7 linked regions of the Ovis aries genome follow. The protein of the gene in region 1 purifies or fractionates together with the protein of each later gene. This does not show direct contact. Links are inferred from orthologs where the notes say so. Each region holds a gene or a part of one and is shown in the gene's direction. Other genes may lie near its edges.

The links.
Region 2: the proteins of AAR2 (region 1) and PRPF6 purify together in Homo sapiens (affinity purification with mass spectrometry; 3 studies listed by BioGRID and IntAct, with this or other methods). This does not show direct contact. The link is inferred for Ovis aries from reciprocal best matches to the Homo sapiens genes AAR2 and PRPF6.
Region 3: the proteins of AAR2 (region 1) and TSSC4 purify together in Homo sapiens (affinity purification with mass spectrometry; 3 studies listed by BioGRID and IntAct, counting the BioPlex papers as one, with this or other methods). This does not show direct contact. The link is inferred for Ovis aries from reciprocal best matches to the Homo sapiens genes AAR2 and TSSC4.
Region 4: the proteins of AAR2 (region 1) and ZNHIT2 purify together in Homo sapiens (affinity purification with mass spectrometry; 3 studies listed by BioGRID and IntAct, counting the BioPlex papers as one, with this or other methods). This does not show direct contact. The link is inferred for Ovis aries from reciprocal best matches to the Homo sapiens genes AAR2 and ZNHIT2.
Region 5: the proteins of AAR2 (region 1) and SNRNP200 purify together in Homo sapiens (affinity purification with mass spectrometry; 5 studies listed by BioGRID and IntAct, counting the BioPlex papers as one, with this or other methods). This does not show direct contact. The link is inferred for Ovis aries from reciprocal best matches to the Homo sapiens genes AAR2 and SNRNP200.
Region 6: the proteins of AAR2 (region 1) and EAPP purify together in Homo sapiens (affinity purification with mass spectrometry; 4 studies listed by BioGRID and IntAct, counting the BioPlex papers as one, with this or other methods). This does not show direct contact. The link is inferred for Ovis aries from reciprocal best matches to the Homo sapiens genes AAR2 and EAPP.
Region 7: the proteins of AAR2 (region 1) and EFTUD2 purify together in Homo sapiens (affinity purification with mass spectrometry; 5 studies listed by BioGRID and IntAct, counting the BioPlex papers as one, with this or other methods). This does not show direct contact. The link is inferred for Ovis aries from reciprocal best matches to the Homo sapiens genes AAR2 and EFTUD2.

The regions. Positions count from the first base shown.
Region 1 is NC_056066.1:65,348,252-65,352,231, forward strand, and holds the start of AAR2 (protein AAR2 homolog), read left to right. Parts: upstream 1-1,180; 5' UTR 1,181-1,402; intron 1,403-3,980. UniProt on the Homo sapiens protein: Component of the U5 snRNP complex that is required for spliceosome assembly and for pre-mRNA splicing.
Region 2 is NC_056066.1:53,537,657-53,540,114, reverse strand, and holds part of PRPF6 (pre-mRNA-processing factor 6), read left to right. Parts: intron 1-124; coding exon 125-258; intron 259-877; coding exon 878-969; intron 970-1,782; coding exon 1,783-1,897; intron 1,898-2,458. UniProt on the Homo sapiens protein: Involved in pre-mRNA splicing as component of the U4/U6-U5 tri-snRNP complex, one of the building blocks of the spliceosome.
Region 3 is NC_056074.1:45,569,345-45,573,393, reverse strand, and holds the start of TSSC4 (U5 small nuclear ribonucleoprotein TSSC4), read left to right. Parts: upstream 1-1,249; 5' UTR 1,250-2,014; intron 2,015-3,553; 5' UTR 3,554-3,669; intron 3,670-3,814; 5' UTR 3,815-3,836; coding exon 3,837-4,049. UniProt on the Homo sapiens protein: Protein associated with the U5 snRNP, during its maturation and its post-splicing recycling and which is required for spliceosomal tri-snRNP complex assembly in the nucleus.
Region 4 is NC_056074.1:39,773,066-39,776,048, reverse strand, and holds ZNHIT2 (zinc finger HIT domain-containing protein 2), read left to right. Parts: upstream 1-1,230; 5' UTR 1,231-1,249; coding exon 1,250-2,449; 3' UTR 2,450-2,483; downstream 2,484-2,983. Other genes in the region: delta(14)-sterol reductase TM7SF2, read right to left, coding at 2,885-2,983. UniProt on the Homo sapiens protein: May act as a bridging factor mediating the interaction between the R2TP/Prefoldin-like (R2TP/PFDL) complex and U5 small nuclear ribonucleoprotein (U5 snRNP).
Region 5 is NC_056056.1:104,085,737-104,089,236, forward strand, and holds part of SNRNP200 (U5 small nuclear ribonucleoprotein 200 kDa helicase), read left to right. Parts: intron 1-509; coding exon 510-618; intron 619-1,348; coding exon 1,349-1,457; intron 1,458-1,942; coding exon 1,943-2,132; intron 2,133-2,229; coding exon 2,230-2,394; intron 2,395-2,566; coding exon 2,567-2,688; intron 2,689-2,955; coding exon 2,956-3,099; intron 3,100-3,191; coding exon 3,192-3,368; intron 3,369-3,500. UniProt on the Homo sapiens protein: Catalyzes the ATP-dependent unwinding of U4/U6 RNA duplices, an essential step in the assembly of a catalytically active spliceosome. Plays a role in pre-mRNA splicing as a core component of precatalytic, catalytic and postcatalytic spliceosomal complexes.
Region 6 is NC_056071.1:42,708,480-42,712,684, reverse strand, and holds the start of EAPP (E2F-associated phosphoprotein), read left to right. Parts: upstream 1-1,405; 5' UTR 1,406-1,452; coding exon 1,453-1,550; intron 1,551-4,205. UniProt on the Homo sapiens protein: May play an important role in the fine-tuning of both major E2F1 activities, the regulation of the cell-cycle and the induction of apoptosis. Promotes S-phase entry, and inhibits p14(ARP) expression.
Region 7 is NC_056064.1:44,341,667-44,345,794, reverse strand, and holds the start of EFTUD2 (116 kDa U5 small nuclear ribonucleoprotein component), read left to right. Parts: upstream 1-1,328; 5' UTR 1,329-1,380; exon of another isoform or gene 1,381-2,427; intron 2,428-4,128. UniProt on the Homo sapiens protein: Required for pre-mRNA splicing as component of the spliceosome, including pre-catalytic, catalytic and post-catalytic spliceosomal complexes. Component of the U5 snRNP and the U4/U6-U5 tri-snRNP complex, a building block of the spliceosome.

The DNA.
Region 1 (3,980 bases):
TGGAACTGACATGACAGGCTGAGATTGACACGCGTGACTGTGACTGATAGAGGCCATCTCTGGCTAATCCTGGGGCAGCTCGTTGTGATCCACCGTGACTGCAGGGCCCAGTCTAGTCTGCAACCCACTAAGAGATGAATTTTGACTGAGACAGATGGGCATGTCCAGCTGTCACTGAGGAATTGTGACAGGCAAGCTAAAGAGCAGCAGCACAGAGACAAGAAGAGCCAGTCACCAATGAGACCTTGGTTTGCATTCTAGCCTGGCCTCTCTCTGGCTGTGCAACTGCTCGGAGCCTCAGTTTTCTCTTCTGCATGTTGGGAATACCGAGTCTGCTTACTAGGGTTAGTGCAAGGATTAGATATCATATACCCAAGGGGCCTGCCCTCTGGATTTTGAATTTCCTTAGGCAGCCCTCAGAATCACATAAGCCAGTTCCTTGTAATAAAGCTCTTAAATACCTCCCGCTGGCTCTGCTTCTTTGATTGAACCCTGAGTGATACAACCACCCAGCACAGAGCTAGGCTCCAAAATAGAAGTCACTAATTAATAAAGAATCACTGTCATTAATTAAATGCATAATATTTAATAATTGAACTGGGTCTTTGTGTGGATTCCAGAAAAACAGCAGAGAACAAGACAGGTTCCCTGCCTCAAGGTGCATATACAGCCTACCTAAGATTTCATACTAGGCCTGCACTGCCAGAAGATATCGGGTGTTTATGGCAGGAAGGATCACTGTGGTGACTGCGGCTGTTAGACTGGGTCTTTCTGGCCTGGGTTTCTGAAGCTCTCCCCTACAGCTGAGTATGGTTGGAAGCAAGACCAGGTGATAAAGGGCCAACTGTGACACTCACTCTGATTGAGATCGGCTGACCAGGACTATGACTGAGCCTCTGACTGTGGCTACTGGACAGCTAGGACCTTGACCAGAACCTCAGAGACCACGACTGATTGAAACCGAAAAGCCGTGACTTGCGGATGTGTTTCTGTACCTGGATATAAAATGCATCGTTTGATGAAAGTTATTATCCACGGGTTCAAGAACTAAATCCAGCAACTCAAAGTAGCCAAAGGCAATGTTCCATGGGGCGGAACCTGCTGGCACGGGCCGTTTCTTCCGCGACCCAGGGACCCGCCCGGCCCCTTTCCCCTGTTGTTCCCCTCCGGCGCTATAGAGGGAGAACTTCCGGTGCGCTTCTGCGATCCCTGGACCTGGGCGAGACACCAGTCGGTGAGTGCAGCCTCCTGTCCTCTTTCAACTGTTCTGCTTTCGTTGTCTGTGTGGTCCGGCCACCCTTCTTTCCGGCTGGGGATCGCGGAGGGCCTGAACTCGGGCACCGAGCTGGGACTGTGGCGTCCCGGTCTTGAGCCGGTGGTGGGACCGACCTGCCTCTTTCAGGTGGGTTACTCTTATTGCTCCCCTTGTAACCGTCAGATACGCCGTCGCCAGAACTTTGTGGGGGCACCTGGGAAACTTCTTTTTTCCTAACTTTAGAACTTATGGGCTCGGAGGCCTTGGCTCCGCCTGACGTGGTTCTGGTGTTCTCTATCTTCGGTAAGGTCTTTTCCACGAACCGAGCCTTTGTTTCTCATCTACAACATGGATATCGTGCTTTTATTAAAAACAGATGTTTAGCCAGCGTCTAATATGTGCTAGAGGTACGAAAGACCCGCATCTCCTAGAGGTGACAGCCCTCTATTAATATTTGCGAACTTGCAGTTGTGATCAGTGAAATGGAAAGATAAAAAGCACTTTGAGAGCACATCACAGGAGATCTGACTTAGCCCCAGGTCGAGGAAGCGTTGCTGAGAAGGTAAATATTAAGCAGAGATCAGAAAAATGGTTTGAGACAGAGAGGAGGGAAGAGTTTTCTATCAGGGGAGCCTCTGTTTGAGGGTCTGAAAGAGTCAGTGTGGCTGCAGCAGAGCTTGGGGAGGAAGCATGATATGAAACAAGCTGGAGGAGTTTCCATGGACCAGGCCATACAGCCCTTGTAGGTCGCAGTGGGAATTTTGGTTTGCCAAGAGCCACGTGAGAAGTCTCTCAGAGGATGTTAAGTATGGGTGGTGACATGCTTAGACTGGCGGTTTGAGAAGGTCACTCCTGCTTTTGGATGGAGAAGGGATTGCAGGGACAATCTGGCTGAGGGACATGGTAGCTTAGATTAAGGATGTGGTGGAGAGAAGTGGGTAGATGTGATTCTCTGTATCTCAAGGCATCTTCTTTGTGCCAGGTCATTTGCCAGCTGTGGAAGATATAGTGAAGAGAATTACAATCTGCTGGAAGTAGAAAGAAAGAAGTGGCATTATCAAAGAGGAGCACACAGATGCCACTGGGAAAATGGCTAATTGATGAGCAGTTATTCTAAATGCAATAGCTGTTCATTTAATAAATATATTAAGTGCCTTTTGAACTCAAGATTGGGGATAGTAAGATGATATAAATTATTTAGAGCAGTGGCTTTCAGACTTTTTGCACTGTGACCTACAGTAACGCATACATTTTACATGGTGACCAAGAGTCCATACAGACACACAAAGCTTCAGAAAACAGTACTTCGCTTTACTTCTTAGGATGTACTCTGATTTTTTAAAATTTTGCCCTTTTATTTAAAAAAAAACAACAAACAATGTTGGTTGAGATCCTCTAAGTTGATCTTTTAACCCATTATCAGATTGTGACTTGCAGTTTGAAAAAAAATGTTGATTTAGAGTCATAATCATTTGTGTGGGTTTTGGGTAAAGACAATAAAATATGTCCTTTCCATATTGGGAAAAGTGTTGGTCTTCCTTTCCTCATGGTATTGTTTTGTTTGTTTAAATAAAATGAGTAAAAGGAATTAAACAGGCAGCTGGTTCTTCTGTTTGTGAAGTTTTGTGGTCTTGTTGATATGTCTGGCTGGATTGGAAGTGCCTGGAAGGCAGTAACTGTCTTCTCCATGATTATTTCTGTTCGTGTCTGGCAAAAATCCTGCAGGCTCTCCAAGGTTATTTGTTGAATTGAATAGGTAGGTGTCTTGGGACTAGAGAGTTAGACGTGTTCTGTTAAAATTAGTTCATGTTGGACCCATCCTTATAAATACAGAGACTATGTCTGTTTACAGAAGTCTTATCAGTGTGTCCTCTTGGGTAGTTCAGAGGTAGATAAAAATAAATGTTCTAAGGTCTTGGTCTTCTAAATACTGATCCGAGGCCAGCCATGCCACCTGGATCCATTTGGGTGAGCAGTCCAGAGGTGCTACTGACTGTGGACCCTTTGGAAAGTTGTTTCACTCCCTGGACTTTAGACTTCTTTATATATATATATATATTTTATATGTATATTTGTATATATGCAGGAGAAGAGGGTTGTGGTTGAAAAGCTCTCCACTGCCCAAACCTTTTGTGAATTTTATTTATTTTATTTTATTTTACTTTATTTTACGTTACAATACTCTTGTGAATTTTAGATGCTAAGCACCCCGTTTCCACTTTCTGTCCATTTCTGGGCCTCCGCTGAGGCTTATGGGAAACTGGGTGGATGCTTCTCGAATCTTCTAAGTTTTAGACAGAATTATAGTTTAAGACAGTTTAGGCACACTAATCCTTTAGAGTGGACCAACCAGGCATTCTCCACCTTCATCTTCTGTTATGAGAAGGAGATCTGAAGAGTGCACAGATCTGAAGGAGCTTCGGAGTGCACAGTGGGAAGAACGCTGGCCTGGAGGGCAGGGTACCCGGGTTCTAACTGGGTCCTTGTGTGGTCTTGAACATGTCTCTTTTCTTTAACTGATGTCTTTCCAGCTGTGCAGTGAGTGTTCTTGCTCATTAAACTCAGAAACAAAAACTGTCTTCTCTTTGAGTGTCGTTTTCTTTACCTGTGATGAAAATTAAGGTAGAAAATTATGTCACTGGAAAAGATCCTGATGCTGGGAAAGATTGAAGTCAGAGGAGAAGGGGACGACAGAGGATGAGATGGTTGGATGGCATCACTGACT
Region 2 (2,458 bases), about 12 Mb from region 1:
TAGTGACAGACCTGGGTGTGAAGTGGCTGGGTCTCTGAGGGCACATGTAATCCTGACTCAGCTTGAGGTGCCGACAGCATCACAGAGACCTGCTGAGTCTTCTCTCTTGTGTCTGTGGCTGCAGTTGAAGAAATGTCCCCACTCCACCCCACTGTGGCTCTTGCTTTCCCGGCTGGAGGAGAAGGTTGGGCAGTTGACCCGAGCTCGGGCCATTCTGGAGAAGTCTCGCCTGAAGAACCCAAAGAACCCCGGCCTGTGGTGAGTTCCCGTGCCCCCAGGAGCTGACTGCGCTCATACCAAGTCTGCGGTGCAGCACTTTCAGCTGAGGCTCCGTGGGAAGGTGCAGTCTGTGGGGAGTCCTGTTCCAGCTGTGAGAGTGTTCACACTAGCCTGAAGATAGTTGGACACAGTGTGGCTTGTGGTGGAATTGAGGGTGTCCAGGAACCAAGAGCTAATGAGGGGGCATTGGGGTGAATGATGCCAAGAAAGTGGACTCTACGGAAAAGGTAATATCTGAGAGGGGCCTTGAGGGATGAAAAGGAGTTTGCCAGATAAACATGGCATTCTGTCCATAGGAGGCTGTGCACACAGACTCCAGGTGTGGGGCTTCAGGGTGTCAGTGCCCTGAGGTGCCCCAGCAGCCACCAGCAGGCCTGTCTTTATCCTCCCATCTTCACTCGTACCTGGATGACCTCAGATTCCAGGTTTATGGCCGCCCATAGGCTTAAGGGTGGGGATCACCCACGTCTCCCTTCTCTGGTGGACGAGCTGCTGGGCAGCACAAACAACTCCAGCTACTGAGGCTCCTCAGGACCTTCTGCTCGTCATCAGGCTGCCAGTGGACAGTGCTCTACCCTGCCCGGGTTTCTCTCTACAGGCTGGAGTCTGTGCGGCTGGAGTACCGTGCGGGGCTGAAGAACATCGCCAGCACGCTCATGGCCAAGGCCCTGCAGGAGTGCCCCAACTCTGGTGAGCACCCACCCCAGGCTGTGGGCAGCAGGTGCCAGATTCAGGCACAAAAATTCTTCCATTATGCTTGGTCATTTAGATGATTGAACTCAAGTTTCAATGTGGGCAGTTGGACCGCATGTTCTGAGATGCTACCATTTCTGTTTCTTTTAGAAGTTAATTTTTTACTATTTTACCCCAAGTCTGTAAGTTAGTGCATGTGCAGTATAAATAAATTTGGAGTAAAAAAAGAGAACATGAAAATTGCTATGAGCCCAGTACTCGGAAATCACTGCTTTTAGCTTTTTTGTATTTTTACAATTTGTATTATTGCACAAAATCAAGTCATACTGTGTATTTTGTTTTGTCCCCTTTTTTTTTACAGTTGAAAATTCTGTGAGGATTTTTCATTATCACTGAATCCTTAACAATGAACAGTTTAGTGGCATCGTAGAATTTTCTGGGTTTATGTCAGGTATATGGCCTCAGGCCGATCTCTAGGCTGGTATCAATCCCAGGTTATCTTTCTGCATAAATCCTTGGTAGCACTTTTTGTTACTTTGTTACAGTGAATTCTCAGCTGTGAAGTTAGTCAGTGAGTATGAAACGTTGGAGGCTGTTAGGACTTCCAGCCTCCTCGCCCCCAGGATGATACCATGGCCTTGTCAGTGGGGCCCTGTGGCTCTGGGCCAGGGTGGAGGTTGGAGGGTATGGAGTAGGGGGGCGGCCTAGGCAGTGCGGCCACGCAGGAGGCACAGGTGGGGATATCCTGAGTCTTCAAAGGCCTCCCTGTGTATGATGGCTGAGATGGGCATCTGCATGTCTGGATTTCAGGGGTCCTGTGGTCTGAAGCCATCTTCCTGGAGGCGAGGCCCCAGCGGAAAACCAAGAGTGTGGATGCCCTGAAGAAGTGTGAGCATGACCCCCACGTGCTCCTGGCTGTGGCCAAGTGAGTAGGGGTCCTGGTGGCAATGCCAGTCCTCTTGCTGGGGTCTCCAGGTCCCCAGAACAAGGCAGTCTTCCCTGGTCATGACCCTTGGGAGGGCCCCTGACCTTCCTTCCCTTGTCCTGGTTCCTTCTCAGGTTTCTGCGCTCTCTGTCTCTGGCACTTTTCAGTTTATTCCAACATGGGTCTTGGGTTGCAGGACAGACAGGCCTGCTGACACTGGTCACATGGAATTTAGGTTACAAGTGAACCTTTTTTGGTTCAACAGCTGTAAGCAAGACAGTTGTTTCCATTGTGTTAATGCCAAAAGCCAGACTGTTTGACCTGTGTAACCCTGGGAACAATCTAGGGCCCATTGGTCAGGCTCTTGGTGTGCCTGGGGGTGTAGAGGCCACCTGTCCTTCAGGGTGTTTCCCTCAAGGACAAGAGGAGGTGGGCAGGCGACCCCCCACTGTCAGCTTGTGCAGGGTACTGGGCCCGGGGCTCCCTGGGGAGGCACGGAGGGCCTTCAGAACCTCCTGAACCTTCTCTGTTCCCTTCTCAAAGGAGGACAGTGGCCTGAGA
Region 3 (4,049 bases), on another chromosome or scaffold:
CAGGAGACCTGGGTTCAATCCCTGGGTTGGGAAGATACCCTGGAGATGGGAAGGGCTACCCATCCCAGTATTCTGGTCTGGAGAATTCCATGGACTGTATAGTCCACAGTGTCAGACTTTATTTTTTGGGGCTCCAAAATCACTGCAGATGGTGACTGCAGCCATGAAATTAAAAGACGCTTACTCCTTGGAAGAAAAGTTATGACCAACCTAGATAGCATATTCAAAAGCAGAGACATTACCTTGCCGACTAAGGTCCGTCTAGTCAAGGCTATGGTTTTTCCTGTGGTCATGTATGGATGTGAGAGTTGGACTGTGAGGAAGGCTGAGTGCTGAAGAATTGATGCTTTTGAACTGTGGTGTTGGAGAAGACTCTTGGGAGTCCCTTGGACTGCAAGGAGATCAGCCCTGGGATTTCTTTGGAAGGAATGATGCTAAAGCTGCAACTCCAGTACTCTGGCCACCTCATGCGAAGAGTTGACTCATTGGAAAAGACTCTGATGCTGGGAGAGATTGGGGGCAGGAGGAGAAGGGGACGACCGAGGATGAGATGGCTGGATGGCATCAGTGACTCGATGGACGTGAGTCTGAGTGCACTCCGGGAGATGGTGATGGACAGGGAGGCCTGGCGTGCTGCGATTCATGGGGTCGCAAAGAGTCGGACACGACTGAGCGACTGAACTGAATAGTCCACAGGGTCGCAAAGTCGGACACGACTGGGAGACTTTCACTTTCGGAGCAGAAATGACCAGTCACGATCGGCAGGCGAGGCCGGGGCGCCTCCCTCAGGAGGCTTGCCACGCGGCGGCCTGCCCGAGTCGTCCAGTGGGCGGGACAAATGTACACCGCGGGACACGCCCCGCGGCCCGGTTCCAGGGACCCGAAAGAGCAGGGACGGCTGCTCCGGAACAGCACCGGAAGTGCCTGGGAACCGCGCGGGATGCGTTGACGCACTTCCGGTTCTCGCAGCTTCCGGCAAAGTGGGCTACAGTACCAGGAACGAGGCTCTGGCCGTTAGCCCTGGAGCATTCTGGGAGTCGCAGCCCTGCCTCCTCACCCAGACTCCCTTCCTGAGTCAATTCCGGTCTCTTCGCGAAGGAGCGCCACGGTTTCCTGTAGGGAAGGCAGCGCATGCGCAAAGTCATCACTCCCGATAGGCCTCAGGCGTGGGAGCCAGGGGCCTTGTGGGAGATGTAGTTCTTCAGGCGCGGGAGAAGCGGCCATCGGCCAGCGGGGGACTCGGTTTCCCACGAGGCTGAGCGCGGCTCAAGATGGAGGCAGCCAGGCCGAAGTGAGCCGGTAGGTTTTTGGTGGGAGGGCCGCGCTGCTGACCCGTCCGGCTTCAGCGGGCCACTGTCCGTAGTCTGCTGCCCCAACCAGGGAGACCCTCGTGAGGCCCGCACCCTTGGCCCGCCCCCGCCCGACTTGGCCGCAGGACTCAGGCAGCTGACAACGAGCGCCTGCTGGGCACGCGCCGAGATTCTGGGCGCGTGGAGTGGAGAAAATCAAGGCTCTGCCTCCTAGGGGAGAGAGACAACCCTCAAGGAAGCCAGCGCTCCCTGGGACCTGGCCAGCCCCGACCCCGGCCCTGAGAAAACCGCGCCTCCGTCAGCCTGGACTCGGCTCTGCCCTCCAGTGAGCTCAGGAAGTTCTCAGAGAACTCAAGAGACGCAGACCTGGCATGCTCGATCTTGGGGCGCGATTCCTGGCTCCCCTCGGAGTGTCCCACTGATCACGGGCGTCCAGGGGACGGGAGTGCAAATTTAGGAAGCCGGAGGCTGGTCGAAGCTCCAGCTTTGCCTCCAGTGTACGGAATGACGGGCCAATTATCTCCCCACTCCTGTCCTGCCAGCCCTAAAACAGACACCGTTGGCGTTTACTTCGTGTCCCCTTTCCTGGAGTTGTTCCTGCATTTGGGGAGTCATGCAAGGCCCAGAGGAATGGAGATCTCGCCTGCGTTTGACCTGGAGCAGGGCACTCGGAGCCACTCCTGGTCCAACTGGCCTGGTCTTTGGTGGGTGCAGGAGCAACAGAGTCACCCTTGGCAAGCAAGGGAGGCCTGGTGGGAAGAGGAAGTTGGTGGAGGCTGAGGCCTGTCCTCTGAGCCTGGAAACAAGTTTCAGGGTGCTTGGTGACACTGGAATGCTAACCAGGTGTTGGCAGGACTTCTGTGCTCCACTGGGAAAGTGAAGGGTGTGTGGAGGATCACAGATGTCGCTGGAGGTTGCCTCAGGAGCTGTGGGGCCGGCCTCTGCCAAGCAAGGCTGAGCCAGCTTCCTGAGAGCCTGACCCTCAGATGTCAAGGACCTGGCTGCAGTCCCTTCTGGAGCTGCCAGGGCATCTCTGCACTCAGGAGCACACCTCCTCCCCACAGAGCCGGCAGGTGCCTCCGGCTTTGTGGAGTACTTCCTGCCTGCCCTGCTCCCAGGCAGCATCCCGCAGCAAGCTCTAAAATTCTTTATTGCAGTTGTTAGCACAGTGAATAAACGTACTCCTCATCCACACAGCAAATGTTTGTGAAGTCTGACTGAGTCAGTTCGAGCTGTTCAGTGAGCCAGTCTGCAGTTCCCGCCATGACTGTCAGCTGTTTTCCGTCCCTCTGAGCACTCACTGACCTGAAAACGTAATAAGCTATCACGTGGAACCACCACAGGACGTGTCAGTTACCACGATTAGACTAGTGACTGATACAGTGTCGATTCTGTAATTTCACTTTTTGAAAAGAGTGATCACCCTTCATGACTCCTTGTAATCCATTAGAAAGTAATTGAATATGCTAGTGTGTGGAAACACTGGCGCTGTGTCAAAACGAAACAGTGACAGTCTTTCTCCGAAGTGAAAAATTACTCAGTTAATGGCCGGAATACCCTCAGTTTCCATTTTGTTTTAATGTTTCACCCCTGCAGCTGCTAGCCAGTGTGAGGAGGGTGATGCCTGCTTTAGCACAAAATTACATGCTCTGCATGTCACTCATTCATTCCTTATTTACCGGAGAAGGCAAGGGCACCCCACTCCAGTACTCGTGCCTGGAAAATCCCATGGACGGAGGAGCCTGCTGCTGCTGCTGCTGCTGCTGCTAAGTCGCTTCAGTCGTGTCCGACTCTGTGCGACCCCATAGACGGCAGCCCACCAGGCTCCTCCGTCCATGGGATTCTCCAGGCAAGAGTACTGGAGTGTGGTGCCCTTGCCTTCTCCGGACAGAGGAGCCTGGCAGGCTACAATCCAAAAGGCCACAAAGAGTCGGATGCAACTGAGCTGAGCGTACTGCCTGCCACTACCACACGTGGCCGACAGAGGGAGCGCGAGGATTGCTGGTGACCCTGGGTTGACACCCCGGCCGGCTGCTCTACCAGACCACCCCGTGCGGGTCCCCTAGTGGCTCTAGTCAACCCTGCCTGGCGAGGACTGAGGGAGGTGACAAGTCAAAAGGACCAGCTCCTGGGCCTGGCTGTTTTGGGGGCTTTGTAAACCCAGGCCCACTCCGGGGATGTTGGCACCACTTCCATTTGTCCGCCATCTGGTCTGATGGCTGGCTGTCCCTCCCTGCCCTTAGCCAGTCACCGAGCCGCTGAGCAGAGCCGTACCAGGGGGCCTTTGCCACCAAGAACCTTCGTCAGCATTCAACCCACCTGCCCTCCAGCATCCAGCAGGCGCCCATCAGACGGGGAGGTAAGAGGAGGGCTTATGGTCGGTGTGGCGGGGGTGGGGATGGGGGCTGGCCCTTCCTCCTGGGACACTGCTCTTCCTGCTGATCCTGCCTGGGGTGGTGGGTGTGAGCTTGTGTCCGGGGACTCCCGGGGCTGTTTTGGTGCAGGTGTGGCGTGGTCTGGGGACACATGGCAGAGGCAGGGGACAGCCGACACTTCCCTGACTCGGAGGCCGACACCCTGCCTCCGGACACTGGCTCCCTCAGCGACTCGGACTCTGACCTTAGTTTGCCTGATGGCGCTGGGGCGGCTGCCCTGTCCCTGGGGGGGCTGCCTGGGGAGGTGTCCGGGGATTCGGGCCCCGATGAGCCCCCCTCGCCCCCCAGAGGCCTCCTCACAGAG
Region 4 (2,983 bases), on another chromosome or scaffold:
CCATGGACTGTAGCCTGCCAGACTCCTCTGTCCATAAGTTTTCCAGGCAAGAGTACTGGAGTGGGTTGCCATTTCCTCCTCCAGGGGATCTTCCTGACCCAGGGACTGAACCCATCTCTTGCATCTCCTGCATTGGCAGGTGGATTCTTTACCACTAGTGACACCTGGGAACCCACTTCCCTGGTGGCTCAGACGGTAAAGCATCTGCCCGCAATGCGGGAGACCCATGTTCAATCCCTGGGTCGGGAAGATCCCCTGGAGAAAGAAATGGCAACCCACTCCAGTACTCTTGCCTGAAAAATTCCAGCGACACCTGGGAAGGGGGGATGCAAAAATGAGCAGACTCTTCAAATCCATCCAGATCTTGGTAGGAAAATAGATGATCCATATTGAGATAAAGACAAGGTATTTTAAAGGTAGAACTGACTAGTTGTGGGACTGAGTATGAGTAAGGTGAGGCACTTTGGTTTCTTTGGAACCAGAGCTTTCAGGAGTGCCATAAATCGAGGCTTCATAGCTTTTGGCACAGTTGGTGAGTCATCACCCCCAATCTACCGCAAACTTAGTTCCATTAGGACAGGTACCCCATCTCATTTGCTCTTCGGTGTATTTTCTTTGGAAGTCGGAGGAGCTCAAAAATTTTAATGTTGCTTCCTCAAGAGGGGAAATGCTCCCAACACACCCTGTCTAGGCTAAGTACCCCTCCCTGGTCTTCCTTTCACTCTCCTTCCATTCTTCCCTGGTAGAATGGCCGCCCCTCCAGCGCAGGGACGCCTAATCTCCCATCGACTTGGCACAGTTAGTGCCTAGAGTAGGTCAGTTCAGTCGGTCAGTCGTGTCCGGCTCTGCAACTCCATGGACAGCAGCACACCAGGCTTCCCTGTCCTTCAAGTTTAGTCAAGATTGGGTTTTGGAAAAAAAAATAAAAGATTGGGTTTTGCCAAAGCGCTTTATGATGCTAAAAGCAACCACTAGGGGGCGGGCTGGTACCGACCGAGCTCCCGGCAGACGCCCTTTTCCTACGCTCCCACCGCTCAGGGCGGGGCTACCTCACGAACGGCCCCTGTGCCGTATCTCGGGTCAAGTGGGGGGCGTAGCTTGAGCTCCGAATGCGGCCGGAAACTGCCGAGAAGGGCTTTGACGAAGCTCTCCGTCGGCCCCGCAAAGAGGCGGAAGTAGCCGAGAAGCGCCGGAAACTTCCGATCTGCGGCGCGTGTGAGTTCTTTGGCTGTGCGCTGCGCCAGTTGTCATGGAGCCGGCCGGGCCGTGTGGCTTCTGCCCCACTGGGGAGGCCCAGCCGGCTCGCTACACTTGCCCTCGCTGTAACGTGCCCTACTGCTCGCTGCGCTGCTACCGGGCGCATGGCAGCTGCGCCGAAGAGTTCTACCGTGACCAGGTGCTGGGAGAACTGCGCGGTCGCAGCGCCTCGCCCAGCCGCCTGGCCACCGCCCTGCGCCGGCTGCGTCAGCAACGTGAGACCGAGGATGAGCCCGGGGACGCAGGCCTCAGGCCTGGCCCGGCGCCCGGCGGCCTCTCAGGACTCTGGGAGCGGCTGGCCCCGGCCGAGAAGGTGGCCTTCGAGCGGCTGCTGAGCCGAGGCGAGGCCGGGCGGCTGTTGCCTCCGTGGCGGCCATGGTGGTGGGGTCGCGGGGCCGGGCCGCGGCTTCTGGAGGAGCTAGGTGATGCCCCAAGCGGCGATGCCGAGGAACTGGAGCCCTCCTCCGCGAGGATGCCGCCGGAACCCGTGAGGGATGAGCCCGCGGCTGTCGAGCCGGTTCTTGGAGACCTCCCCGGGGCCTGCCCTCCCGCCGTGCCCACCCGGATCCCCGCGCTGGCCAGCCTGAGCAGGGGCCGGACGTCGCCGCTTGTGCGCTTCCAGCTGCCCAACGTGCTATTTGCCTACGCGCACACTCTGGCCTTGTATCACGGCGGCGACGAGGCGCTGCTCTCGGACTTCTGTGCCACACTGCTCGGCGTTTCCGGAGCCCTGGGCTCCCAGCAGGTCTTCGCCTCTGCCGAGGAAGCCCTGCAGGCCGCAGCCCATGTGCTGGAAGCAGGCGAGCATCCCCCCGGACCTCTGGGCACACGGGGAGCCATGCGCGAGGCTGCCCGCATTCTGCTGGGTGAGGGCCCGGCCAACCAGAAAAGCTACACGCTGGCAGCGCTGGGGGACCTGGCGCAAACCCTGGGCCGGGCCCGGAAACAAGCGGTGGCCCCCGAAGAAGGAGATCGCCTCTACCGGGCCCGAAAGAAATGCCAGTTCCTTCTGTCTTGGACCAACGAAAATGAGGACGCCCTCACACCCCTGGCTCTAGACTGTGCCACGGCCCACCGAGCTCACACTGTGGCAGCTGAGGAGGTGGCAGCCCTCACGGGGGAGCTGGAGCAGCTTTGGGGAGGCCCCCTGCCACCTGCCCGGAGGACTCTTATTGAGGAGCTCCCCGGCTGAACCCTTTGTCATTAATAAAGCTGTGACCGCTCTGCCCCGTCGCCAGTGCCCATTTCTGAGTGGTGGTTCTTGTGCCACCGTCCCCCAGACTCTTGGGCCCACAAACTGCCTGTCAGCTTCTCCTTGACTGGGGCTGACCCAGCCAGTCTTTAAACAGCCTGGCCCAGAAAGGGAGAGAAGCAGCACCAAGGATTCCAGCTGTTTATCTAAGGAGGAAGAGCAGCACACCCCCCCTACACACCCACTCCATTTTGGAGCACTGGCTTCATTTCCCCCTTGCTCCAGCCACTTATCAGGCCGTTCATCCCAGTGTTTTGGAGCTCTGGGCAGGGTAGGGTACAGGCCCTTGTGTCCCGGGTGCGTCCAGGCTCCTGGTGCCCAGTGTGCTGGCAGCTGGGCAGGCACGTGCCCCAACCTGGGGTGTCTGGAGCTGCTTCAGTAGACGTAGGGCACGATTCGGTAGGGCACACGCTGGCAGTATTCGTGCCAGGCTAGGCCGTACTTCTGCAGACACTGCCGCTCATCCCGGTCCTC
Region 5 (3,500 bases), on another chromosome or scaffold:
GGGGTGGCTGTGTGCTGGTGAGTCTCGTTGACGTTAGGCATTTCGTGCAGAGTAGTATTTTGACGGTGCTTAGGGAGCCGCAGTGGCAGTGCTCCTGCCAGAATCACTTGCTGTCACTCAGGCCTGAATCTGCCTCGTGTGGGGCACCCTCAGAGCTCGATCTGCTGCCATGGACTGGCCAGCCTGTGGCTGAGTTGGTGGAAGCATGTTCCAGTCGGCACAGCCTGCCTGTCAGGCAGGAGTGTGAGCCTGACTTTCTCTGGGCTTGGGGGTCTGTTCCAGGGTGACCTCGTCTCCTGCAGGGTAGCCCCCCAGCAGAGCAGCAGTGACAGGCAGACCCTCCTGTAGTACCGCGTTAGCCTCTTAGTCCTGAAACCTTATCCCTGCCCAGCGTTGCACTGAGTTCTGAAGTATAGAGCAGGGTGCGCCACTGCTTGCCCCAGAGGCAGCGGGTCCTGCCCCACTCGGGGGGCCCTGTGCTCAGTCTGCTCCTCCCCTCTGCCGCTCAGGGGCCATCCAGGTGGTGGTCGCTTCTCGGAGTCTCTGCTGGGGCATGAACGTGGCCGCCCACCTGGTGATCATCATGGACACCCAGTACTACAACGGCAAGATCCACGCGTGAGTCCAGTGTGCTGTGCGTTCACGGGCCCCTCTCTCCTAAGATGAGTGTAACCTCTGCAGATCCGGAAGGCCACTGTTGTGAAGAAAAGGTGTTAGGGAAATAAATAGCTAGCTGAGATTCCACCCCAGCCAGGGTTTTATTTGTGCAGACTTATTTCTGATGCTTGAAGCTGCTCCTAGGTTTGGATTTGAGTGGGGTGGGCTTGATCACTCATGAACCATATGGCTGTGAGGTCTGGGAGCCTGCCTGACATACGAAATGCTTTAACATGGAGTCATCTGGCTATCGCCGTTAGATGGGTTGGCTTCCCAGGTGGCGCAGTGGAGAACCCACCTGCCAATGCAGGAGACGCAGGTTCCATCCCGGGTCGGGAAGATCCCCTGGAAGAGGACATGTTGGCCCTCTCCAGTGTTCTTGCCTGGAAAATGTCATGGACAGAGGGGCCTGGCGGGCTGTAGTCCATGGGGTTGCAAGGAGGTGGACGTGAGGGAACAGACACACACACACATTAGATGGATTAACACCTTTGGTTCACAGACCCTGAGCAACAAAGTCCTGACTCTTAACACTTGAAAACTAAACTGGTCTGTAGATAACCTGTGACACTAGGGCCTGAGCACACTCACAGAGGTTTGCTGGGATTCTCCATGTCTCCCTGTATCTGCATTTTATTCTTCGACTTTCAGGGAGGCAGTGTCCTGAGTCCTCTTCTCCCTCTGTCTCCAGGTACGTAGATTACCCCATCTACGACGTTCTGCAGATGGTGGGCCACGCCAACCGCCCTCTGCAGGATGACGAGGGCCGCTGCGTCATCATGTGCCAGGGCTCCAAGAAGGTCAGCCCCGGCCTCTGGCGCGGGCTTCCGAGCCTGGGCCTCGGAACAGATTCTTTAATCTCTCTCTCCATAGGCGTCTTTACTTACTTCCTCATGTTCTCTCTGTCTTCTTTTCTTTCCACATTGCCTTTGTAACAAGCCTTTCCCTGTGTAGAATTTTGTAGCCTTTGATTTTTGTTGCTGCTGTTGACTCTGTGTATTGAGATCTTAACCCTCTGGCTGGGTCTGTCTTCCTCATGCCTTGCTCAGCCCTTGGGGCTCAGTGTACCTTCCTCCGTGGTAGAAATAACCAGTGATGCCGGGGGAACCGGCATACACACCCAGCTCTCCAGGTCCAGACCCAGCTCACCTTGTCTGTGCAGCTGGTCTCTTCCGTTTCGTACGAGCCGTGCCTGTTGCACGGCGGCCGTATTTGCCCTTGGCCTTTCTCTGACCGTACTGTCATTGACTGTGTGCTGTACCGTCATTGACATTTTTTCCCGTAGGATTTCTTCAAGAAGTTCTTGTATGAGCCTTTGCCGGTGGAGTCTCACCTGGACCACTGTATGCATGACCACTTCAATGCCGAGATCGTCACCAAGACCATTGAGAACAAGCAGGATGCTGTGGACTACCTCACCTGGACCTTCCTGTACCGCCGCATGACGCAGAACCCCAATTACTACAACCTGCAGGGTCGGTGGCGGCACTGCACGCATCATCCTCTGGTGGTTGGCACAGCCCTCATTCACCGTCTCCTCGGGACACCCCTGCTTACCTGTCACCTTCACAGGCATCTCCCATCGTCACCTGTCTGACCACTTGTCGGAGCTCGTGGAGCAGACCCTGAGTGACCTGGAGCAGTCCAAGTGCATCAGCGTCGAGGACGAGATGGATGTGGCGCCCCTGAACCTGGGCATGATCGCCGCCTACTATTACATCAATTACACCACCATCGGTGAGGGCCGGCAGGGCCTGCAGCCACGGGGACGACATGACGAGGCTTTCAGGGCCTCGTGTGCTTGTCAGAGGGACGCATTGCAGGGTGGAGCCGGGCTAGCCCAGCAGTTAACTCTGCTCCTCCTCTGCCTGCTTTGACTCCTCCAAATGTCCTTTCTTTCCTCTCTCAGAGCTCTTCAGTATGTCCCTGAACGCCAAGACCAAGGTGCGAGGGCTCATCGAGATCATCTCCAACGCGGCCGAGTATGAGAACATCCCCATCCGGCACCACGAGGACAACCTCCTGCGGCAGGTGAGCGCGTCTTGGCTTCTGGAGTGCGTCTTCCGAGCCGCGTGAAACTCGGCCCCCATACCCAGAGCACAGGATCCCGCTCTTGGGTCAGGAAAACTCCTACTCCCCTGCCCCGAGCTCCCTCACACACTCCACACACATCTCAACCCCCACCACCCACAGCCGTCGTCTCCTCCTTAGCGTGGAATGGTTGTGGGCCTGGGGCGGGTGGTGCTTTGGCCCTGAGTGCGGGTCTCTTCACCAACCGCTCTTTCTTCTGCTTTCCAGCTGGCCCAGAAGGTCCCCCACAAACTGAATAACCCTAAGTTCAACGACCCGCACGTCAAGACCAACCTGCTTCTGCAGGCTCACCTGTCCCGCATGCAGCTGAGTGCTGAGCTGCAGTCGGATACAGAGGAGATCCTCAGCAAGGTATGGAGGCAGGGCGCCGCGGGCATGGAGGCCTGGGCGGCCCATGCGGCAGCAGTGCCCACGCCTGCTCTTGCTCTCTGGGCCCTCTGCAGGCCATCCGGCTCATCCAGGCCTGTGTGGACGTCCTCTCCAGCAACGGGTGGCTCAGCCCGGCCCTGGCGGCCATGGAGCTGGCCCAGATGGCCACCCAAGCCATGTGGTCCAAGGACTCCTACCTGAAACAGCTGCCGCACTTCACCTCCGAGCACATCAAACGTTGCACAGACAAGGTGAGCTGGGCCTGCATCGCAGTGTTGGGTGGCCAAGTCTGGAGGCCAGGCATCCTGCACTGGGGTTGGTTGTGGGAGGGGAGGTGTCTCGTTTTGGCTTCTCTGAAGGTGTTACCCAAGAAGGCGCCAGGG
Region 6 (4,205 bases), on another chromosome or scaffold:
AGCATAAATTCTTCAGCACTCAGCTTTCTTTATGGTTCAACTCTCACATCCATACATGACAACTGGAAAAACCACAGCTTTGACTAGACAGCCCTTTGTCAGCAAAGGAGGGACAAAGGAGTCCAATCGATTCCAAGATTCTCAGTCTATGGCAACTCTAAGGATGTCAGGAAGTGGTAAGAGCAGAAACTGAGTCAAAAGTAGCTTTGGCTGAGGCATAGAAATGGGGTGAAAGATGCTGTGCCGCTCTGGTGCTACATTGATTGAATTGCAGCAGGCGGAGGTATCTAGCCAAGCAAGAGGAAATCCGACAAAGTATCAGAGGAAAGGGCAAGGATTAAATAAGACAGAGTAGTCATCTGAATTGGGTCATTAAGAGGGGTCACTTGTCCCTAAAGCGGCAGACGCTTGAGTATAGGCTGGTAGAGAAACAGAAGAAACTGTCTCTCAGTCAAGACGCCGTCATCTATCTCATCTGGCATATCCAGCGGATGTAAGGTAAGGGCCGAGAAAAGGTCGGGACTAAGAAGAGGTCAAGATAGGCAAATTAGGAAGTAAGTAATGGCAGGTTGGTGCTTTTGAACTGTGGTGTTGGAGTAGATTCTTGAGAGTCCTTTGGACTGCAAGGAGATCCAACCAGTCCATCCTAAAGCAGATCAGACCTGGGTGTTCATTGGAAGGACTGATGCTGAAGCTGAAACTCCAATACTTTGGCCACCTCATGCGAAGAGTTGACTCATTGGAAAAGACCCTGATGCTGGAAGGGATTGGGGGCAGAGGAGAAGGGGATAACAGAGGGTGAGATGGCTGGGTGGCATCACCGACTCGATGGACATGGGTTTGGGTAAACTCCGGGAGTTGGTGATGGACAGGGAGGCCTGGCGTGCTGTGGTTCATGGGGTCGCAAAGAGTCGGACACGACTCAGCGACTGAACTGAACTGAATTGAATGACAGCTTAGCAACTTTTTGGAAGACAGACGAGGGCGAAGTCAGACTGAGAAGGGAGAACTGTGAAAGCAATGCAGTAGCGCGAGAAAAAAAGGTAGAAGGGTTTCAGGCGACGAGGCTGGAGGGACGTTGAATGCTAGTGTCTGGAGACCTACTGGCCCTGATCTAAGGCTACACGTCCCTCAGCACATAGATTTCTGGTTTTTCACGTCACAACGTGAAACACGGCACGTGGAGTGTTCATCCCACATACTGCCACTTATGAGGGTGCTCACTGCAACTTCCAGTAATAAGGTAGCGGCTTCGTATGTTTCCGAATAGGAACTTATTCCTGTTGCGAAGGGGAGCAGCAGGTCTTCCGGACCCGCCTGCAGTACCAGCCCTTCGCTGGGAATATCCGCGCAGGCGCGCATAAAGGACTCGGAAGTGCGGGCGGAAGTTGGGCCGGAGCACTTTAGGGAAGGGACCTGCGGAGTAAACAGTCGTTCGGCAGACGCCTGTGGATGGTATCGGAGGGGCCGGCCACTATGAACCGCCTCCAAGACGACTATGATCCGTACGCAGTTGAGGAGCCTAGCGACGAGGAGCCGGCTTTGAGCAGGTGGGCCCCTGCCCCGCGCCGTCCCCCTGCCACTCTCCGGCCCTCGAGGCTTCGGACCAAGGTAGACAGCCTCCCGACTCGCTGCGCTTGCCGGGCCCGTGCGGATACTCCGGCCAGCGGTTCGGGACCCTGTCGCACCCCACTGTCGTCTGTGGACTCCGCTGGGGGTTCTGGTGAGGTCTTGCAGTCACGGGGGAGGCAGGATCGAAATTGGCGCAGGGGAGGGCCATAGTCCATATTCTGGAATTACGCGTAAGAATCAAAAACTGTGAGGTCGAATCCTGCTTCTGCAGCTTAGCAGTACTGTGACTGAGGTCAAGTCCCTCGTTTATAGAAAGGAAGTATAGTAAGCATATCGCGAGTTTGTTGTGAGGCACTTGGGACTTACTGTGAATTGAACATCATTAAGATTAAACTGCCATAAACAGAAATTAGGGGATAATTAACTTTTTTTTTTTTTTTTGAGCATCTGTTGTATGCTTGCTGTGGGCTACAGAGATCAGACATAAGATTTTTGTCTTTGACAGGTTTAACGGTAAAGTAGGGGACATAAGATAGATATGTATCTTGCGAGATATATGTCTTGGAAATAAAAGTGTATTGCAGAAGAGCGCTGTAGAAAAAGATGACCTGGGATAGTTACAGATGAAGTTCCACGGGAATTTCCAGAAGAAAGGGATTTATCCTACCTGGGGGAAACTCGCAATTATGTTGACTAGAGATTTCCAGGCAAGTTTAGCCATTTTAAAATCTGTCAGCAGATCCTGTTCATAAACTTTAAAACATTCTGTCCGACTAGTTTTCTGTGAAACTGTTTTTCTCTTAATCACAGTGCTTCCTCATACTATCCTGGGGAGGGGTTATAGGATGGGAGATCAGACTGCTGTGAAGATTTCTGTTGTGGGAAGTGAGGGTGGATTCCAGGATTCCCTTATGAAGAGTTTCACTTAGGGGCCCAGTCTGTGAAAGTAGGTCTCAATTAGTAATTCAGTTTGATTGGTTTCAGTGTTTCCTGAACTTGAGTTATTCTTCCATTATCATCCCCGTATTCACCCTCGTTATTATTTATTTAATATTTTTCTTTAAGTCAGTTTACATTTTTGTAGTTAAATGCCTTCTCTCTCTTTTTTTTTTTTTTGCTCATAGTTTGTGGGATCTTAGTTCCCTAACTGGGGATCGAACCTGGGCCCCCAGCAGTGGAAGCACAGTCCTAACCACTGGATCACCAGGGAATTCCCATGTAGTTAAATATTTGTAAGGAGACTTTATATTCCTGTGATAGTTGCCACTGGTAAGGTAACTGTAAATATAAATACTTTGAAAACAAAACAGTGTTATTAGGTGGTATTGCCTGCTGAATCCAATGCTTGTTTTGGAAAGGGAAATTGTGTTAGAGAGGTGTTTAAGAGGTGTCTGTCAGGATTTGATTTTACTCTTTCTAGAAGTGACTCCTTTATCGCCTGTTACCGTTTCATGGAAGCTGGCAGAACACATGAATCTCCTGAGTGAGAGGCACCTCATAGTAGAGCAGGCAGTCTGAGCACCCCGTTTGTGTTGGTTGCTCTTGTTTCCAACTCCTATCTATAGAGTTACATGGAGAGGCCCAGATGGCTGCTACATGTTCAGTGGGTTGGTATCATAGCTGAGGACCACTTGGGCTTGGAGAATGCACCTTTTATAGCAGGCAGTAAATATGCCGCTAGATGCCAGTAACCCCTCCTCCCACGTCATGTCCCAGTTGTGACAATCAAAAATATCTCTAGCTATGCCAGATGTTCCCTAGGAGGCAAAATTGCCCCCAGTTGAAGAGTACTGTGATAGTTCAAGGGTAATAGTGAAAGATAAGCCTGAAAAGATAAGTTGAAACCAGATTGTGGAAGATTCTTTTGAATGCTGTACTCAGAGTTTTGGTCATGGATGACTTTCTTTTGGATTTGGGTAGTGATGTGATAAGCGTTCTTTAGGAATAATATGCTGGCATCAGGGTTCAGGGTGGAAGGAAGCAGAAGAGTTTTGAGACCTGGTGATCCTTAAGCCTTGATGGTACAGGCAGAGATAAGAGAACCTGAGTGAATATAGAGGTGATGGAGAAAGGGAGCGTGCTGGTCAGGATGGGGAATTTTCTTGGGAGTAAAATCTGGATAAGGCCTCTGTCATTAGCAAAATTGATTGGCATGAGTTGTATTATTCTTATTTACCTTCTTCTGGTGTGTTAATAGAAGAGAAAAATAGTGAAGCAAAACCCATGAATAGTCTGTAACAGTTCATCAGACCATGAATAATTGAACATTATATATGTACTATTGACTATTAGAAATGTCTTAGGCATTTCATCTTGATAACATTTCATTTCTTCTGATACCTGGTTTAATTCCATACTGCTGTTGATGGGGAAACCCAGGCACAAAAGGCCAAATTGGCATAAATTGCTCAGGAGAATTTGGAATATATTTTAGGTCTCTCTCTCTCTCTTTTTATAGTTCTCTGTAGCACTGTGCCTTTTAAACTGTGATATTTACTGTCTGTTAACACTTTGCGGGGATATATTAGCTGTCTGTTACATATGTTAAGTTTTATTTAAGTGTCCAGACTTTAAAACAAACGCCCAGTAAAATTTTCATTGCTGATGGAATTACAAATTGGTGCAATACACTT
Region 7 (4,128 bases), on another chromosome or scaffold:
GGGTTTGGGTGGACTCCGGGAGTTGGTGATGGACAGGGAGGCCTGATGTGCTGCGCTTCGTGGGGTCGCAAAGAGTTGGACACGACTGAGCGACTGCACTGAACTGAACAGAAGGCGGCTCTGTCCATGAAATTCTCCAGGCAAGAATACTGGAGTGGGTTGCCATTCCCTTCTCCAGTGTTATATTCCCGATCCAGGGATCCAACCCGGGTCTCCCACACTGCAGGCAGATTCTTTATGATCTGAGCCACCAGGGAAGCACCCATACTTAAATGTCTTATAAGGAGAAAAGATACTTTCCACCCGAAACCAGATGCAATGACTGAGCAGGAAATCAAGTGGACGCGACAGAGGAAGGGGCTTAATGATCCCCGTTCTCAAACCCCTCTGTCCAGCCCAAGGCTGGAGCATAAATCTCTAGGTACTTGGGCAACCTCTTTAGTTCTGTCTCTGTACTTCTGCAACTTCCGGGTGTCTGAGGCTGACTGATTCGTTCTATAGAGATCACCTATACGAGTTTTAATCTTGGATCCGCATTTACTGCTGTGAGACCTTTCTGAACCTTACTACTACTGCTCCGAGCTATTTGCTAAAGATCACTTGGCGAAGTCATCCCCACCAAGCTCCTCAGTCCCTGGGATCTCCCAGGCAAAAATACTGGAGTGGGTTGCCATTTCCTCCTCCAGGGCATCTTCCTGGCCCAGGTCTCCAGCACTGCAGGCAGATTCTTTACCGTCTGAGCCACCAGGCAAGCCCCAACACGGAAGCAGGAGGCCTAAAACCAACCCTCCACCCTAACATGGGTAAGCGAAAGACCAAGAAGTAGGGTGGGCTGGCCAGGAACTGAACTCAGGTGTCCTGACTCCTGCCTAGTTCTAAGCCTTTCCCAGTCACTGAAAATCTAGAACATCTAATCCTCCTGCCCCCTGACCTTCACCCCAGCAGCCGGGGCCTCGGTTTCCTTTCTTTCTTTGGGGATGCCCAGACACTGCCCGACGAAGTCAGCTCAGCGTAGACCACGCCCAGCAGCTGTGGTTGCCCAGCAACTGCTACAACAGCCTCCCACGTGATCGCCCCGAAGGCCCCCAGTCAGGGTGGCCCCGAGGCGCCTGATCAGATTCACGCCTCCTCAGGCCTCGCTTTCTCTGGAGCAGCCCACGCCGTGGTTTGGGGACCCACAGTTCCTCTTCTCAGGTTCCGGTGTCCGCAGCCGGGATTCCTCCGAGCTGGTCCACAGGCAGAGGGCTGCCCTCCCGGGAAGAAACGCAACCGCGGCGCCTGTGGGGTCCTTCCGAACGGCGGGCGCAGGCGGTGAGGCGGCGTGGGGCGGAAGCACGATCTCCAGCGGCCGACTGGGAGTTTTTGGCTGAGCAGCGGGAGGTGAGTGGCGCTGGTCAGCGTCAGGGGAGGCTTGCTCTGGTGGAATGGGAAATTAGTCAGATTTGGAAGAGATGCTATGTGTTATATGCCACTTTCACTTTACAGATGGGTAAATTGAGGCGTGGAGTAGGATAGAGAATGAAAGCCCCCCCACCCCCCAACCGATTCCTGGGTTCCCTGCGTGTCGTCCGTCTATAAAACCCTTTCCCTGGGCAGGGGTCGTTCTTGCAGTGTCTATTCCCCTATCTTACTCTCTCTTCCAACTGTGCCGCCTTCACTTCTCTATCAAGCTCCCTCCGTCGTTACTCTATGTTCCTTTGAGAGCCTGCATTGTAGCGGGAAGCTGCAGTGAAGTTTGGTACCGAAATTCACTAGTTTTGTGCAACTGTGGGCAGGTCAGCTGTCTTCTCTGTGCCTTGTTGGGGCCATACATTTCGTCATTCAGTAAGTGGTTCTGTTTTGTGGCAGGCACCCTTTTAAGTGAAAACAAAAACAGTCCTTGCTTAAACTGTAGTTGGAGAGGTGACGGTAAATACACGAAGATACTTGTCAGCTAATGATAAATGTTAATAAAAATAATAAAACATTGAAAATAGGGGTTGGAGAATGTGTGTGTGGGGGGGGGGAGTTTTTTAGAGTGACAAGGGAAGGTTTCTCAGAGAAGGTGCTGTTTTAGTAGAGACCTGAGTGAGATGAAGGAACAAGGTATATATGCCCAAGGGAAGAGCATTTTGGAAGAGAAGAGTAAGTGCAGTGGCCCTGAAGCAGAAATGACTTGGATTATTTCATGAACAGCCTTGTATAGAAATTTCTGCAGTCATTTCATGGGTGTCTTGGGAGAATGAAATGTGCACAGAGATGATAGCTCTTTGGAAATAAAAAGAATATGCATATGAAAGTTTCTGTGATAAATCACATTTACTTATTAGTAGTGGAGCTCTTAATTCTCTATTTTATCCACAGTCAGCACTCCACAAGGGGCACTGAAGGAGGTGGAGGGATTACCGTTGTGGAAGAAATACCAGTATCTCAAAATTGAACCTTCTGGTCAGTTAACATTTATCTAGTGCCTACTCATGTGAAGTGGTGTCTTGGGCATTGGCACATGGGCACAAGGAGCACAGGGTTCCTGTATTCAAGAATGGCCAAAAAAGTTTTTTAACTAAAAAATACAAATAAAACAGACAAAAGAATGGCTAAAAAATAATGCCAGTTAACATTGATTGATCCTGGAATCATGATGAATTCTTTACACAGCCTATTTTTTTTAATTCTCATAATGCTTTATGTGGTGAAAATTAATCACTTTATTTTCCAATTGAAGAAACAGGCTTGGAGAGGTGAAGGGCTTACTGAAAGTGACATAGTTATTAAGTGACAAAGTTTGGATTCAAATCTAGGTCTGCCAGTTCCAGAGCCCTGACCAGTAACCCATGCTCTGGTCTGTTGTCTATTACTTGTAAGCTGTAGAGTTGTTGTTGAGGGTAGTTAATGCAGTTAACTACCGTTGATGACAGAAGTAAATGCTGATAAAGACACAAAAGGCTGTGGCATCATAGGTGAGTGAGAAATTGAGGCTCAAGGAAGACTTGAAGGAAATGGTCTTTGAACAGTTATTTTGAATAGAATTTCAATACTTGAAGTGGAGACAGCCCACGAAATATTTATGAACTGCGGAGAGAAAACAAGTAACTTTATACAGTGGAAAAGCCTGGTAGACACCACCACAATCAAGTGGTTACGTTAACATCACCACTGATGGGAGAAATTAAAATCATATGCCACTTGTTAGGAGTTGCACCGAAAAGAGCACAGCCTCACTACTGTGATAGTCTTACCAAAAAAAAAAAGCATAACTTGACTCTAATCATGAGGAAACATCAGACAAACTTAAATTCAGGAACATTCTACAAACTCACTAGCCTGTAATCTTCAAAAGCGTCAAGTCACAGAAATCAAGGAAAGGCCAAGGATTGTTCCAGATTGAAAGAGACTGAAGACATGATAGCCAGGTGCAAACATGGAATCCTCTGCTGTGCAGGACATTAGTGGAACAATTTCTGAAACTTGTATGGGGGCCTGTGGATTAGGTGTAGTGATGTGTCAGTATTTTCTGATTTTGATGGTTGTATTGTGGTTATGCAGAAGAATGTCCTTGTTTGTAGGAATCATGTGCGCTAAGAACAGGGGTTGGCAAACTTTGTCTATTAAGGGCCAGATAGTAAGTATTTTAGGCTCTGTGGCCATATAGTCTCAGAGGCAGCTACTCAGCTGTTACAGGCTGAAAGCAGTCACAGACGGTATAAAGAAAGGGGCATGGCTGTGTTCTAGTAAAGCTGTTTTCATAGACACTGAAATTTGAATTTCATAGAACTAATTGTCATGTATCATGAAACACTCGTCCTTTGACTTTTTTTTCCAACTGTTTAAAAATATTTTAAAAATCATACCTTCCAGGCCGTTATGAGAACAGCCAGATTTGGCCACAGGCTATAGTTTACCAACTTCTGCACTAAAGTCTGAGGAGGTGATGAGACATTGTGTCAGCAACTTATTCTCAAATAACTTAGGAAAAAGTGATGTGCACTGTTTTTGCAACTTCCTGTATTTAATTATTTTAAAATTAAAATTCTTTTAGTATTAAAAAAACAAACAAACAAGTGGGCTGGGACTTCCCTGGCAGTCCAGTGGTAGGACTCCATGCTTCTACTGCAGGGGGCATGGGTTCAAGCCCTGGTGGAGGGGAGG